Linked DNA regions of Drosophila melanogaster. The protein of the gene in region 1 purifies or fractionates together with the protein of each later gene. This does not show direct contact. Each region holds a gene or a part of one and is shown in the gene's direction. Other genes may lie near its edges. The genes, in order: Iris and coro.

Evidence for each region.
Region 2: the proteins of Iris (region 1) and coro purify together in Drosophila melanogaster (affinity purification with mass spectrometry, with the first as the bait; one large-scale study listed by BioGRID). This does not show direct contact.

Annotation. Positions count from the first base shown.
Region 1 is NT_033779.5:1,131,795-1,136,305, reverse strand, and holds Iris (iris), read left to right. Parts: upstream 1-2,207; 5' UTR 2,208-2,232; coding exon 2,233-3,828; 3' UTR 3,829-3,974; downstream 3,975-4,511. Other genes in the region: CG4577 (uncharacterized protein), read right to left, coding at 1,225-1,447; TBC1D23 (TBC1 domain family member 23), read right to left, coding at 4,353-4,511.
Region 2 is NT_033778.4:6,861,646-6,869,632, reverse strand, and holds coro (coronin), read left to right. Parts: upstream 1-1,837; 5' UTR 1,838-2,066; intron 2,067-2,108; exon of another isoform or gene 2,109-2,151; intron 2,152-2,492; exon of another isoform or gene 2,493-2,636; intron 2,637-2,691; 5' UTR 2,692-2,748; coding exon 2,749-2,946; intron 2,947-3,748; coding exon of another isoform or gene 3,749-3,766; intron 3,767-4,258; coding exon 4,259-4,525; intron 4,526-4,583; coding exon 4,584-4,997; intron 4,998-5,061; coding exon 5,062-5,355; intron 5,356-6,078; coding exon 6,079-6,285; intron 6,286-6,343; coding exon 6,344-6,571; 3' UTR 6,572-7,373; downstream 7,374-7,987.

The DNA of each region.
Region 1 (4,511 bases):
TACTTTTGGCCTTAGTTGCTGCTGCGGTTTGGAGCGCTAACGAACGTGTTGCACACACGGACGCGTATTTATACTCGGAATGGATCGGAAAGGCTTAACAGCTTGAGCTTGGCTGCCTACTTAAGGGCTCAATGCTGCGGTGAAAGTGGGGGCGGCAATGGGTGGCACTTGCCACCCAAGATGTGGTGAATGGCGATGGCGATGGCGTAAGGCGATGCTAGGCGAACGGCGCCAGGCGAGCAGAAAGTGCAGGAGGAGCGGAAGGGGCGCAAAAGGGGCTGAAAACTTTCGCCTAACTCGCTTTCTAAAAATAGAAATGAAATCGCGCGCACGTACGCACACTTTAACAGCATGGAGGCCCCCCCACTCACATACACGCACACACGTACTCACACACACTCACAAAGGAGGCTGGCCGCCATTTTGTGTGGCGAACGCCTACGCGATGTTTAACTGCGCTGTAGGTTCCCGTGTGCTTGTGTTGGTGAGCGCTGAGCTACATATATGAACAGTGTAACTGCACTGGGAGAAATCGTGGAGCTGTATATACAGAATACCATATGTTTCTTTAGAGTTGTTGAAAGAAAAGGCAACATTGTGCTTTAAGCCGCAGCTTGATATATGTATATATGTTTCGTGAATATTTTGGCAGAAATTTGATTATTATATATATATGTATATAATTTAATATAATTTATATAATCATTTTTTTGTTGAAACTTTAATTTAAAGACTTAAAACTTATTTTATTTGATAGTTTTCTTTCAAGAGTGCATATAGCTACCCACTTACTCAGAAAAGTCATTGGTAGTTTTCTCGCTGTGCAGGCACAGTAATGATTCACTAAGCCAGTGCAAGAAAAACAACCGCAGGATGGAAATTTATAAATCGCTCATGGAGCGCGGCATTCAAAAGGACGACAGCTGTCGTCCTCGCGCAAAACACCTACGCAATTTCCTGGCAGAAACAGCGAACGACGAGCGGTAAATGGGAAATGGAATATGCTAAACGAGATGAGCTCCGAGATGGAGCCACTCGAGCGGATGCCCGACCCTCAAAAGCCAGCAGCCAGCCAACCCACGCAGACGACGAGCTGGAGGCTGGAGGCACAGCCTTCTCGGGCCGGGCATTTTTCAAAAACTCGCATTTTCCCAGTGACCTTTAGCCTTAAGAGTGGGCGTGGGCGGAGCTGCTGCTCCACCTGTACTGAACTTTGGCACTTACCTGTGGCCGGCTGTTGCTGCTGCTGCTGCTGCTGGAGCTGCTGCTGCTGGTGATGCTGCTGCTGCTGTTGCTGCTGCTGCTGGAGCTTGTGGTTGGCGCTGGTGGAGAGCTCCGTGTCTTGGGCGAGCACGGAGGTGGGCACCGCCCGGATTGGAAGGCTGAGGCACAGGATCAGTGCCAGGACTACCAGCAGGCTGCTGCCGGGCAACGAGATGCGTGGCATGTTTACGGCAAACGGCACTTGACTTGGCTCTAGCTGGTGGTGTCCCAAATAGGATTCGGATCTGGCTGGAGGTGGGAGGTCGACTTCGACTCCTGGCCTGGTTTCTGCCGGTGTTTGGATCCCAGTGGTCTGCGCACTTCGACTGTTCTGAATGAACTGACGTCCCAGCGACGCAGTGCAACAGTTTTTAACGTATTGCCCCGATTCCGTGCCGTTGGCCGTTGGCTTGCAGACCACATTAAAGTGCCACCCAACTCCTCCACTCGCCGACCGAATCCCGTCCGGTCTGCACACAACCTACGTCACTCTCATTGATAAAGACCGCGGAGCTCGGAGGAGCCTGCTTACGTACTTGCCTGGCGAGGCAGCGAGCCAATCCTCTACTGCGCCGGCGCCGGATCTGCAAAGAGCTGCGTTACTGCCAGGTCGCATCGGTGGGCCTCTGTGGTGCTGGTTATGCCGCTATGACACTGGTTGTTATGTAAATTCACTATATTAGTACTCAATGCACTTGACTAGTGTAAAATGTATAATAAATATGGATGGCTTATGTTATATTTGTATATTATATATTTATATTATATTTATTTGAAAGCTAATTCTGGCTAATTGCCTCACTTGCAAATATTTAAAAATTTATATTGCGCACAATGATCCGATCATTTTGCTATATCAGCAATTGAACATACATATGGACATGCACTACCGCTTGCTACCCGATTCTCAGGAGCTCACCTTCAGTTTAGCGCGGAACTCTGGGCAACGATCACCTCTACAAGCGAAAGATGAAAGCGATTAGTTTGGTATTCATCCTCGCCCCCTCGCTGATAGCGCTCTCCCATGGAAGCCCAGTTGATCGGGAGGCGATCGGAGGTCCGATGGCGATGCGGGGATTCAACAACAGTCTGGGCACCTTCGTGGAGTACAGCGGTCAGGCATCGCTAGCCTCCAGAGATTGGAAGTTATGTGCCAGCTTCAACTTGGAGTCGCTTTATACGGCAATACGTGCGTTCAATGGTGTCTACAAGGCTTTGGTCGATGTGTGCGATATCCAAAGGAATCTTTGTCCAGAAATTCTGGACATTACCAAGTTTGCGGATAGTATTCTTCACGATGGACTAATTGACTTGGAGAAAGCGTTGGACTTTAGGGCCGGACGACTTTCTTTGGGAGATGACGACGTGTCCATCGAGCTTGGGATGGGAACATCCTGCATTGACAGCTCCATTAATGTTATAAATGTGATACTTCAAGAACCCTTTCACGAGGCTTATGAACCTGAAAACCTGATTATGATGAAGCCGTATCTATACCTTATGGGCAGCAGACTAAAAAGTGCCCAGAATGCCATAACTGAAGCCATAATCTCTGCCCACCACGGAAAGCTTAGTCCTCTTGTCCTTTCAATGAAACAGCTGCAAGCGAAGATGCCGCCAATTCTGGGAGATCTGGATGGCCGATATACAATCCGGAATATTTACCTTCTCGCCTCCGTAGTTCCTCGGCAGCGGGGCAACCACGTGGAGTTCCAAATCACAGTGCCCTTGCTCGATGCGGAGAAGTTTAATATCTACCGATTGACGCCCATTCCACGGTTAAACAATGGCGTAATCCAACTGGTGGACACCGAAACACCTTATCTGGGCATCAACGATCATATGGACAGGTATTTTCCGCTTCAGAGCTTGGACGACTGCATCAAGTTGGGCGAAGAAAGGTTCATCTGCAGGCGCAACCGCATTATCTACGGGACTGGGGATGACAGTTTTGCCTGCTCCCTGGCGGCCATACGGAACCAGTCTTCCGAAGTCTGCACCTTGCGTCAAGTGAAGGAGAAGAGTCTGTGGACAGAGATGGTGGCACCAAACTCCTGGATGGTGGCCCTTACCAATGAGCTAACTTTAATAGGAGTGTGCTCCGGTGAGAGGCAGGAGCTCCAATTGAATGGCAGTGGAATCCTGAGCATTCAAAGCGACTGTGCCGTGCGCAGTCCAGCTGTCGCCCTCCGTGGAGAAGTCCGGGAAAGAGTTCCTTCGAAAGCAGGTTACGCAACGCTGCAGAAGGAACCAAAATCTTCCCAGGAATCCGTGACCTTGGAATCATTTAATCAACTCCTGGCGATCGTGGGCAAACTGGAGCTGAATCAGAAAAAGCTGGAAGCAGTCCGAGATTACCCAATGGTAGTCGTAGTAGTAGTAGCTGTGTGCGCAGCCATATTGCTGGTCGCCTTACTTGTTTCGGCGACCTGGTTATATCGCACCCATCGGAGCAAACAACTTGCGCAGGCTCAAAATCTTGTCAACGAAGTCAATGGTCTCCAGGATCCACAGAATCGCACCACAACCTGCAATCTTCCGCTGCTGGAAAAACATGAAATCTAAAAAAAAAAGAAGATGCGGCTGCGTGGTGCATCTGTTAAGTTCCGATGAAATTTCAAAGAGAGCTATGATTTTTTAACAATTTTTTGTGTCGATTATAATACAGTTTTATTTGTTTGGTTTGATTGCAATAAATATTAGTTACTCTCATCATGTACACGTTGTAAGTCTCAGGGCTTCGGTAAGGGTTCCTTATTCGCACTTAGAAATTTAGAAAATTGGGATCGGGGGCGTGGCATGCTCGGGATGGCCATGTGATCTGGGACTACGTTCGACTATTTTCTTCAAATCCGGTCTCTGCACCGAGTGCACTATGTTACAATTGCAGCCAGCGCTTCGTTTACAATAAGAACTATACTATTTCAGCTAATACAAGGAAAACAATGCCAATTACAAACTATTACACCGCTCGCAGCGGCGCATTGCACTTTGTGTCTCTGATTTTTGTATCAGTGGCCGTTCATGAAATAAAGCTTGATGCGGAAAGGCGGAAACAAGAAGAGCATGCGGCGGTTGTCCGGTTTATCCTACTTGGCGTCGTCAAGCACCTGCACGATGAGCCTTGAAATCAGTGCCGTAACTTCGGCCGCATTTGGTATGAGGAAGCGGTCCATGTCGGTTATGAGCAGACCATCGCCATCGGGGAATCCGTACTTGAACGTGATGAGGTCGCGGTGTCGCTTCTT
Region 2 (7,987 bases), on another chromosome or scaffold:
GCCCTATGCTTTAGGAAAAGTTTGAACTATCAGTTGTAGCTACTTTAATCCGGAAACCATGATGGCATGTGGTCCTACACATTTAATAGATTCTTTTTCGAGTGTACTTGGGGAATAGAGATGTCATTATAACGGAAGTGGCCGGTGAACACAACGTGTCGACAAAGCGGCAAGATTTGCAATCAAGCATTAAGTCAATTCTCGGCCAGTCCCCGATCGCTGGACCATCGCATTCGCATCAATTCAGCGACGGTTGCATCTCTCGCGATTTCAACACAAATTGCTGGAGGGCCCCACAACAGCCCCATTGTCAAATGGTTAACGCGATTACAAGACAGTCGCTGCTGAAAGTTGGTTGACACCCGCTGGTTAAGTGGCGTGCGGATTAGTTGGTTACTTTTCAATAATGATTCAGCAACAGCCTGTTTCTAATTCTGGCAGAGACGCCTCCTAGAACCAAAATCTGACTCAGGACCTTTTTCAAGACCTTTTTCAAACGGAATTCTATTAATTCTAATTATACTATCAAAATCATTATGTTATTTAACCCCATTTCATTGTTATTAAGGTATACATACCTTTCATTTATAGAGAAGTTTATTCTGATTCGTCGAAAACGTTGCAACGATTCCGACCCTATGAAGAATATATTCCTGATCAGAATCGCAGGTTATAGGTAATTTCCGAATGTACTCAAGCGAGTTTTTAGAAGAAAAGAAAAACACTGTTGAACAATTTGAGAAACTAGTGACGCTCGCACCTTTGACATCTATTGTGAATAAATATAATACTAGACTTAAACACAATAACTAGGTAGATTGTGGACTTCCATCTAATGTGAGTTTTGAAGATCCGGTACTAATTTGAACCTTTGACTTAATTTCCTTTCGAATATCTTCAGAAACAGCCTTACATTTGGGGCCCACTGTAAAGAATGGAATGCAATGTGATGCTGGGTATTCAATCACACCACCCGGGTAATGGGCGTCGGGAATGAGTTCTTCAAAGATTTTCATTTCTTCAGCGATTTTCTTGAACCCACACTTCCGTTAATCGCTGAGTGGTCCGCTGATAAAACCACCGACGGTCAAGTTGATTAAGCGCAGAAGAGGCCACTTTTTTGGCCATTGCGAGCGGAATTGCGAATGCAATTATGATCGATCGGGGAAGTGGGAGTGGATGGGGGTGGCTCGACTATGATAACTCAGGCATGGCAGGTGCCAGCGATGCCAACGAAATAAATAAACACATCAAATGCGATTTACAACGCTGCTTTGAGCATCGTGCACTGTGTTTGTATATGAAAATTTCATTTCGCCTAAGATGATTTAATTTTCTATTAATAAGTTTGACCTTCAGCCGCGAAACAAAAATTTTCCCGCCTGCAAACGAAGGTGTTTGGCATATAAACACATAAATAACAACGCATACACACGCCGCAGATATATATATATATATATAGATAGATATATTCCGGGTACAGTGCTTAGGAGTATTTTCCAGTTGGTGGCAAACATTTCGGCGTCGTTTTGGACTACATAGGCGTAGCACTTAACATTATCTCTGTGGTGTTTAGCCAACTCCGAGCTGATATTTCCTTATCAGTGGAGAGGCCATGTCGATACCCACACCCACCCAAGAACAAAGCCCTCCGGGGCTCACCTTGTGGCCAAAAACAGACAGCGTAGAAAGTAATCAATTCTGGGGTCTGCTTTGGGGCCAGTTTAAAGGGGTCAATGACAAAGTTTAGTGCTTGCAATAAATATGAATATCTTTGAGCAAAACAAAACGAAGCAACGAGGCAAAAGAGGCAAATAATTTTATGGCACTTCTCTGATTAAAAACGAAAGCTGTTCGGAGTGGAAGCCTGCCGGGCTCGGCCCAACCCAGAAATGAATTCTGCTTCAAACACGTAGCTATCTAGAAGTCTCCCGGAGTGTTAGGTATATGTTTGGGCTTAGGTTGGCCTGCGGGATCGGTTTGCTCAGCCATAACTTACGTGTTGGAAGGCTACTCATTGCTGGAGTGGCTATTTTGGCGTTATGATGTCATCCTGAAAGAAAGGGGTATGGAAAACTGATAGTTCGACACGTTCCGGCTGGCGCTTCATTAACGAAAGTGGACCCGAATGTGGCAGTTGCCAAGTGGCAGGTGAAAGCGTTCTAGGCGCCTCCCGCCGTTTCCGGCGCTTTCAGTCGCCAACATTAGTGATGCCATAAGCAATTTGATGCAACCTCTCGCGGACAAAGTCAGCGCGTCAATAGCAAGCTGCGAATGGAAAGCTCATTGATTTTCGCAACAAGCGAAATTAGCATATGCAAATTTATTGAACTAATCGAGGCTGCGAAGCGCGGTGAAAGAAAAACGCGTTAAGCTAACACATAAGTGAGCGAAGCTGAAAGCGAATAACATTGCTATTCGGTCGGTTTATGCGTCGCTCAGAACTCGGATAAGGCTAAGATCACGATTTTCAGGTTTCACAGAACTGTGTAGAAAACAAAACCTATCAAATGAGTGTTCAAATCTCTGCCAAAAAGTAGGGGTTTCATATCTCATTCAGGTGCGGAAAGAATACGGCTAAACGATTTCGCTTGAAGACTTGTTATTAAGGGCAAAGGGTGGAAAATACCAAACGCGTAAGAAATTCCCCTACATTGCTAACTATCCTTCGTACGTCTCATTTCTTTTCAGAGCTAGACGTAGAGAAGCTCAGGACTGATCGCTGACCCAAGCCACTGCAGCATCAAGATGTCATTTCGCGTAGTGCGCAGCTCCAAGTTCCGCCACGTCTACGGACAGGCTCTCAAGCGGGAGCAGTGCTACGACAACATACGGGTATCCAAGTCCAGCTGGGACTCCACATTCTGCGCGGTGAATCCCAAGTTCCTGGCCATTATCGTAGAGTCGGCGGGCGGCGGAGCCTTCATCGTCCTGCCACACAACAAAGTGAGTGCGCCACCGGACCTATTATAGTTGCACTCGTCTACGTGCGTCTGCCCCGACGCGGCCAGCTTGGTGGGGTATTTTTAAACAAGACAATGGGCAACTATTTATAGCGCCCTTTTGGCATAAAGTTTGCGGCCATTTGCGGGCTTGTTGCCACGTCGCGAGTGACGTCGACGGATTTCGCATGACTCCACCCAATCTCACATGTGTTTATAAATAGTTATAGATTCTGCTACTACCGCGGCAGCGATACTGCTAGCTGGCGCACTTTTGTAATTTGGCCACTAGCCAACATGACAAACAAATCGTCTAATTTTAGAGAGAGGCAGAGGAGCAGCCAGTTAAATGAATACAAAAATGATATTCGGGCGAATCATTGCATCGAAATGCACACTCAGCTCGGCGACTTATTCCGCTAAAAACTAATTGTTTGTATTCCACTAAATTGCATTTTCAATCTCAAAATCTTTTGGCCGTCCTGCCCCAGATTCAGCTATTCGGGCTTCTGTTTAGTTGTAGTTTTGCGCGCAGCTCCAGCAAATAGTGTGGGCAGCAGAAGCACCCATTCCCCTAATCTTCCGATGCTCCTCTTTTGATGAAAACATATATGGAAGTACACCGATGGTCGTTCCATTTGAAACAAAAATTTGTATGCAAAACGCGCGGCAAGCGATCGTTTTTTTCACTCTAAGCAGTTGCCGCTTTTTTAAGTGATGATTTCTATGTGGAGCGGCTTTCACACGCCCTATTTTACTTATTTTATGGGCACTGGATGATGAGTGAGATCCATCTAGTCGCCAAGGTTGGCCGCATGTGGCAAGTGTAGGCAAGAACAAGCACAAGTTCTTGAAAAAACCAAAATAGATTTACACTCATGGAACTCATTCGAGAAACTTTTTGGAATGATACATTTTAATACATTTATTGAAAGCGATGAACAAAGAATATTATCTAATAATATATAACAATGTTAAATTTGAAATAGTTTACCATTACTATTTGTTATAATATGCTTCGAAATATATAGATTTCGATGGGAGCTATTCGGCATTCCAATTTTCTATAATTCTAGGGCCATATTCGGAAGCAATTGGCATGAAGTTTACAATTATAAATTGCCTGCTTGGCAGATTAGCGAACATAGCAGAACCGAGTGCAGTCGGAGTCGGCTATAAATAATAATTCAGGAATTGGGCTAATGGGTCGCGAGGTTGCAGTTTTGCAATGGTTGCTGCTCATGACTTAGTCGCCATCAATTATAAAAATTTACTGTGGCGTATCGAGCTAATTGAAATTTAATGGACTCTTTCAGGTTGGTCGCATTGCGGCTGACCACCCTTTGGTGGGCGGTCACAAGGGTCCTGTGCTGGACATCGCCTGGTGCCCCCACAACGACAACGTGATCGCCTCCGGCTCAGAGGACTGTGTGGTCAAAGTGTGGCAGATCCCCGATGGCGGGCTGTCGCGAACACTCACCGAACCCGTGGTCGACCTGGTTTTCCACCAGCGTCGCGTGGGTCTGGTGTTGTGGCATCCCTCTGCGCTCAACGTGCTGCTTACCGCCGGCTCCGATAACCAGGTGAGCGAATGCTAACACTTCTTCAGAAGCCCATGCTTATACTCTCTGTATTGCGAAGGTCGTGATTTGGAACGTGGGCACTGGTGAAATCCTCGTGCACATCGACTCCCATCCGGACATCGTTTACAGCGCCTGCTTCAACTGGGATGGCTCTAAGTTGGTTACCACCTGCAAGGATAAAAAGATCCGCATCTACGATCCGCGCACTGCCGAGCTGGAGAGCGAAGCCATGTGTCATGAGGGCTCCAAGGCCACGAGGGCCATTTTCCTACGTCACGGTCTGATCTTCACCACAGGCTTCAACCGTAGCTCGGAGCGTCAGTACTCCCTGCGCGCACCGGATGCCCTTAACGAACCCATTGTCATGGTGGAGCTGGACACGTCCAACGGCGTAATGTTCCCTCTTTACGACGCAGACACGAACATGATCTACTTGTGTGGAAAAGGTGACTCGGTCATTCGGTATTTCGAGGTTAGTACAAGTAAATCTACAATATTACATATGAATATTATCTAACCAAAATCTCATCGAACAGGTAACGCCCGAACCTCCTTTTGTGCACTACATAAACACGTTTCAGACTACAGAGCCGCAGCGTGGTATTGGTCTGATGCCCAAGCGAGGCTGTGATGTGACCACCTGCGAGGTCGCCAAGTTCTATCGCATGAACAACAACGGTCTGTGTCAGGTCATCTCGATGACTGTGCCGCGCAAATCGGATCTTTTCCAGGAGGATCTCTACCCCGATACGCTAGCGGAAGACGCTGCCATCACCGCGGAGGAGTGGATCGATGGCAAGGATGCGGATCCGATCACATTTTCGCTCAAAGTAAGTGGCTAAGGTGCAGAAGCAGCTCAGACTTTTATTCCGTGTTGCGAATACAGCGCTCGCCGCCGAATGCGGCAACGGTTCGGCCACACTGCCAACCATTCCGCCGGCGATAAGAGCGTACAAGATATAGGATATATATCAGCATGTGCGCCAGCGGGGCTTGTCCACAGATGGCAATGCGGCTCGAAGTCGATGAGGCAGTCGCTGCCACTGTGGACGCCCCTTCTACAATGTATTCCAACGGCTTTTGCAGTTGCTTTTGTCTGCTAGCACAAGGACTCCAAGTGAGCTACTTGTGAGTTCCGTTTAAAGCTTACTCCCAGCATTTGCCGGTGGCTACCTACCAGCGTGTGATGCCTGCGCTTGCTTTACTTACGTTTTTTCTGCGTTATCTACGTTTGTGCCTTGTCCGCCCAGCCACATTCCACTCCAATACACAGACTACAGTCCTCGTTCTCCGTTGTACAATGTCACTTGAGACGAGGCATCTTAAGAATGTTTTAGTGACGACCGGAATAAAGAGTATTCACAATGATCTAAAATGGTTTAGTATTCTAAATGTTAGCTAACTTATTAAAGTCTCCTATTGGATACAGTAACACGCCGCATAAATGCACACTTGGCCCTAACACGCACGCGAATGCGCGTGGCGCTTGTCGTTGTGTTCATTGTTGTTTGTTGTGTTCTGAAACGAACAGATTTTCTTACCCGCCTAATCAGGATCGCGTTTCCATTGTACAGGGTGGCTACGTGTCCTCGTCGGTAAACAAATCGCTACCAGCGAAGAAGGCGGGCAACATCCTGAACAAGCCTAGAGGCGACAGCGCTAGCTCCGGTGCAACGAGCAGCAGCGCGGGCGGCGGCAACTTTGCGTCCGGAAATAACAATGAGGCTAGCGAAGGTGGACCGCCTGCAGCGGTTTTATCGGTGAGTACTTGCACTCCTTCAGCGGTTGTATGATTAACTTATTGGTTCACTTCAAAAGGAAAAGGACCTGCGCACCATACAAGACGAGATCCGCAAACTTAAGGCGATCATCGTCAAGCAAGAGAACCGCATCCGCGCTCTGGAGGCCAAGGAGGACGCCCGCAACAAGAATGGAAGCGATGCTGCGCCGGCTTCAGCGGGAGCAGCCACGTCTGACGGCAAAGCCAGTGAAAGTGCCAACGACCACGCGTCCACATCAGCCGGAACGTCAAAGGACGAGGACTAGGTCTAGCAATGAAACGAGGACTGAACTGATAAAAATGGGCGGAATGGATTGGAGGAGAGACAGAGAACTGCTTGTAGAAGCTCGTAGCTACGCTTAATTTCTCTATTGCAACAAAGCGCGCTGAGGACGAATTGAAAAAGAACTTATTGTCTATTACCATTATGGTTTCGATTATTTATTTTTTATAATTTAATATTAGCGAAATCAGTTGAGTGCGGGTGTGGCACAGATAGGGTTAGAGAATGCCGAGCTAAATCATCTAATCGAACTTAAGCGAGCATAACCGAGCAGACCTGGACGCTTAACGTATAAAACATAACATAAAACTACATCCTGCCAAAAATATATAAAAAACCTAACGAACTACCTACATTTTGCGCCCAAAATCAAGCAGAGCGAAGGGCAGGTACTCGGCCCTTTGATCGGCTTGTTGTTACGCAAGTATGAAATTGTTGTAAATTTAACAAAGGCAAATCATAGACTAAACCTCAATCACTTAAGAGTTAACACCTACCTACCAAATTTGTACGAGCTCCTTTCTGTAACGTCTGTATATTTGTACGTCCCGGAAGTTTTCATGACAATAGCTGATAGAATCGATACTGTTCATCCTAGCTGAGGCCCCCTTAATCAGTCACATTTCCCTGCAAATTGTCGTGTCAAACATAGCGAATTTAGTAAGAAAGTGATGGGGGTCATCGGACTTAATTCGTTTTCGTAATCAAAATTTTATTGTTCAAACTAATGATAAGCTGTATTTTGAAATAATAAGAGTAACAATAAATGCAACAAAATCAGAAAGAAAGTAAGAAACCATCGAAACTATTTTTATAAAAATTTGTTTACTTTTCTTTTCTTTCATTTGATTTTACTTTCATTAGTTTTGTTAGAGAACCGAGGGCGAGAGCAGCGTCATTAAACACCTACCGATTTTGTAATTCACAACCATTGTAAAATGAAGACTATATACATATACATACATAAATACTCTATATACAAATAATTTACAATTTGATACGGAATAAAACAAAATACAATGCCAGAAGAAGTTGGGTGCTAATAATGGAGGTGTTTCGTATCTAATTCTTTTCGTAATGTGTGTTCTTTTAGCAGCATTTTCAAATATGTAGATGTTAGTCGACAATGGAATTTTTACCAGCTGCACTTTAAACTAATTGACAACTTTTAATTGCAGAAATAAGCTCATCCATGCGTTATTCATTGCCGAGCCTATGTGTTCGGTTCAATTGAATATGCAAATTCGTTTAATTTTGCCTAAACAGCTTTTGAGCATACTGCCGATGTGTTGTGTGTAATTATTACCTCAGCGAGCAAACCAAAAAAATGCAATTACAATTTACGTGTACAACGATTCTGACATTTTAATTAAACTTGGCCAAGTGCGCTTTTGTGGGT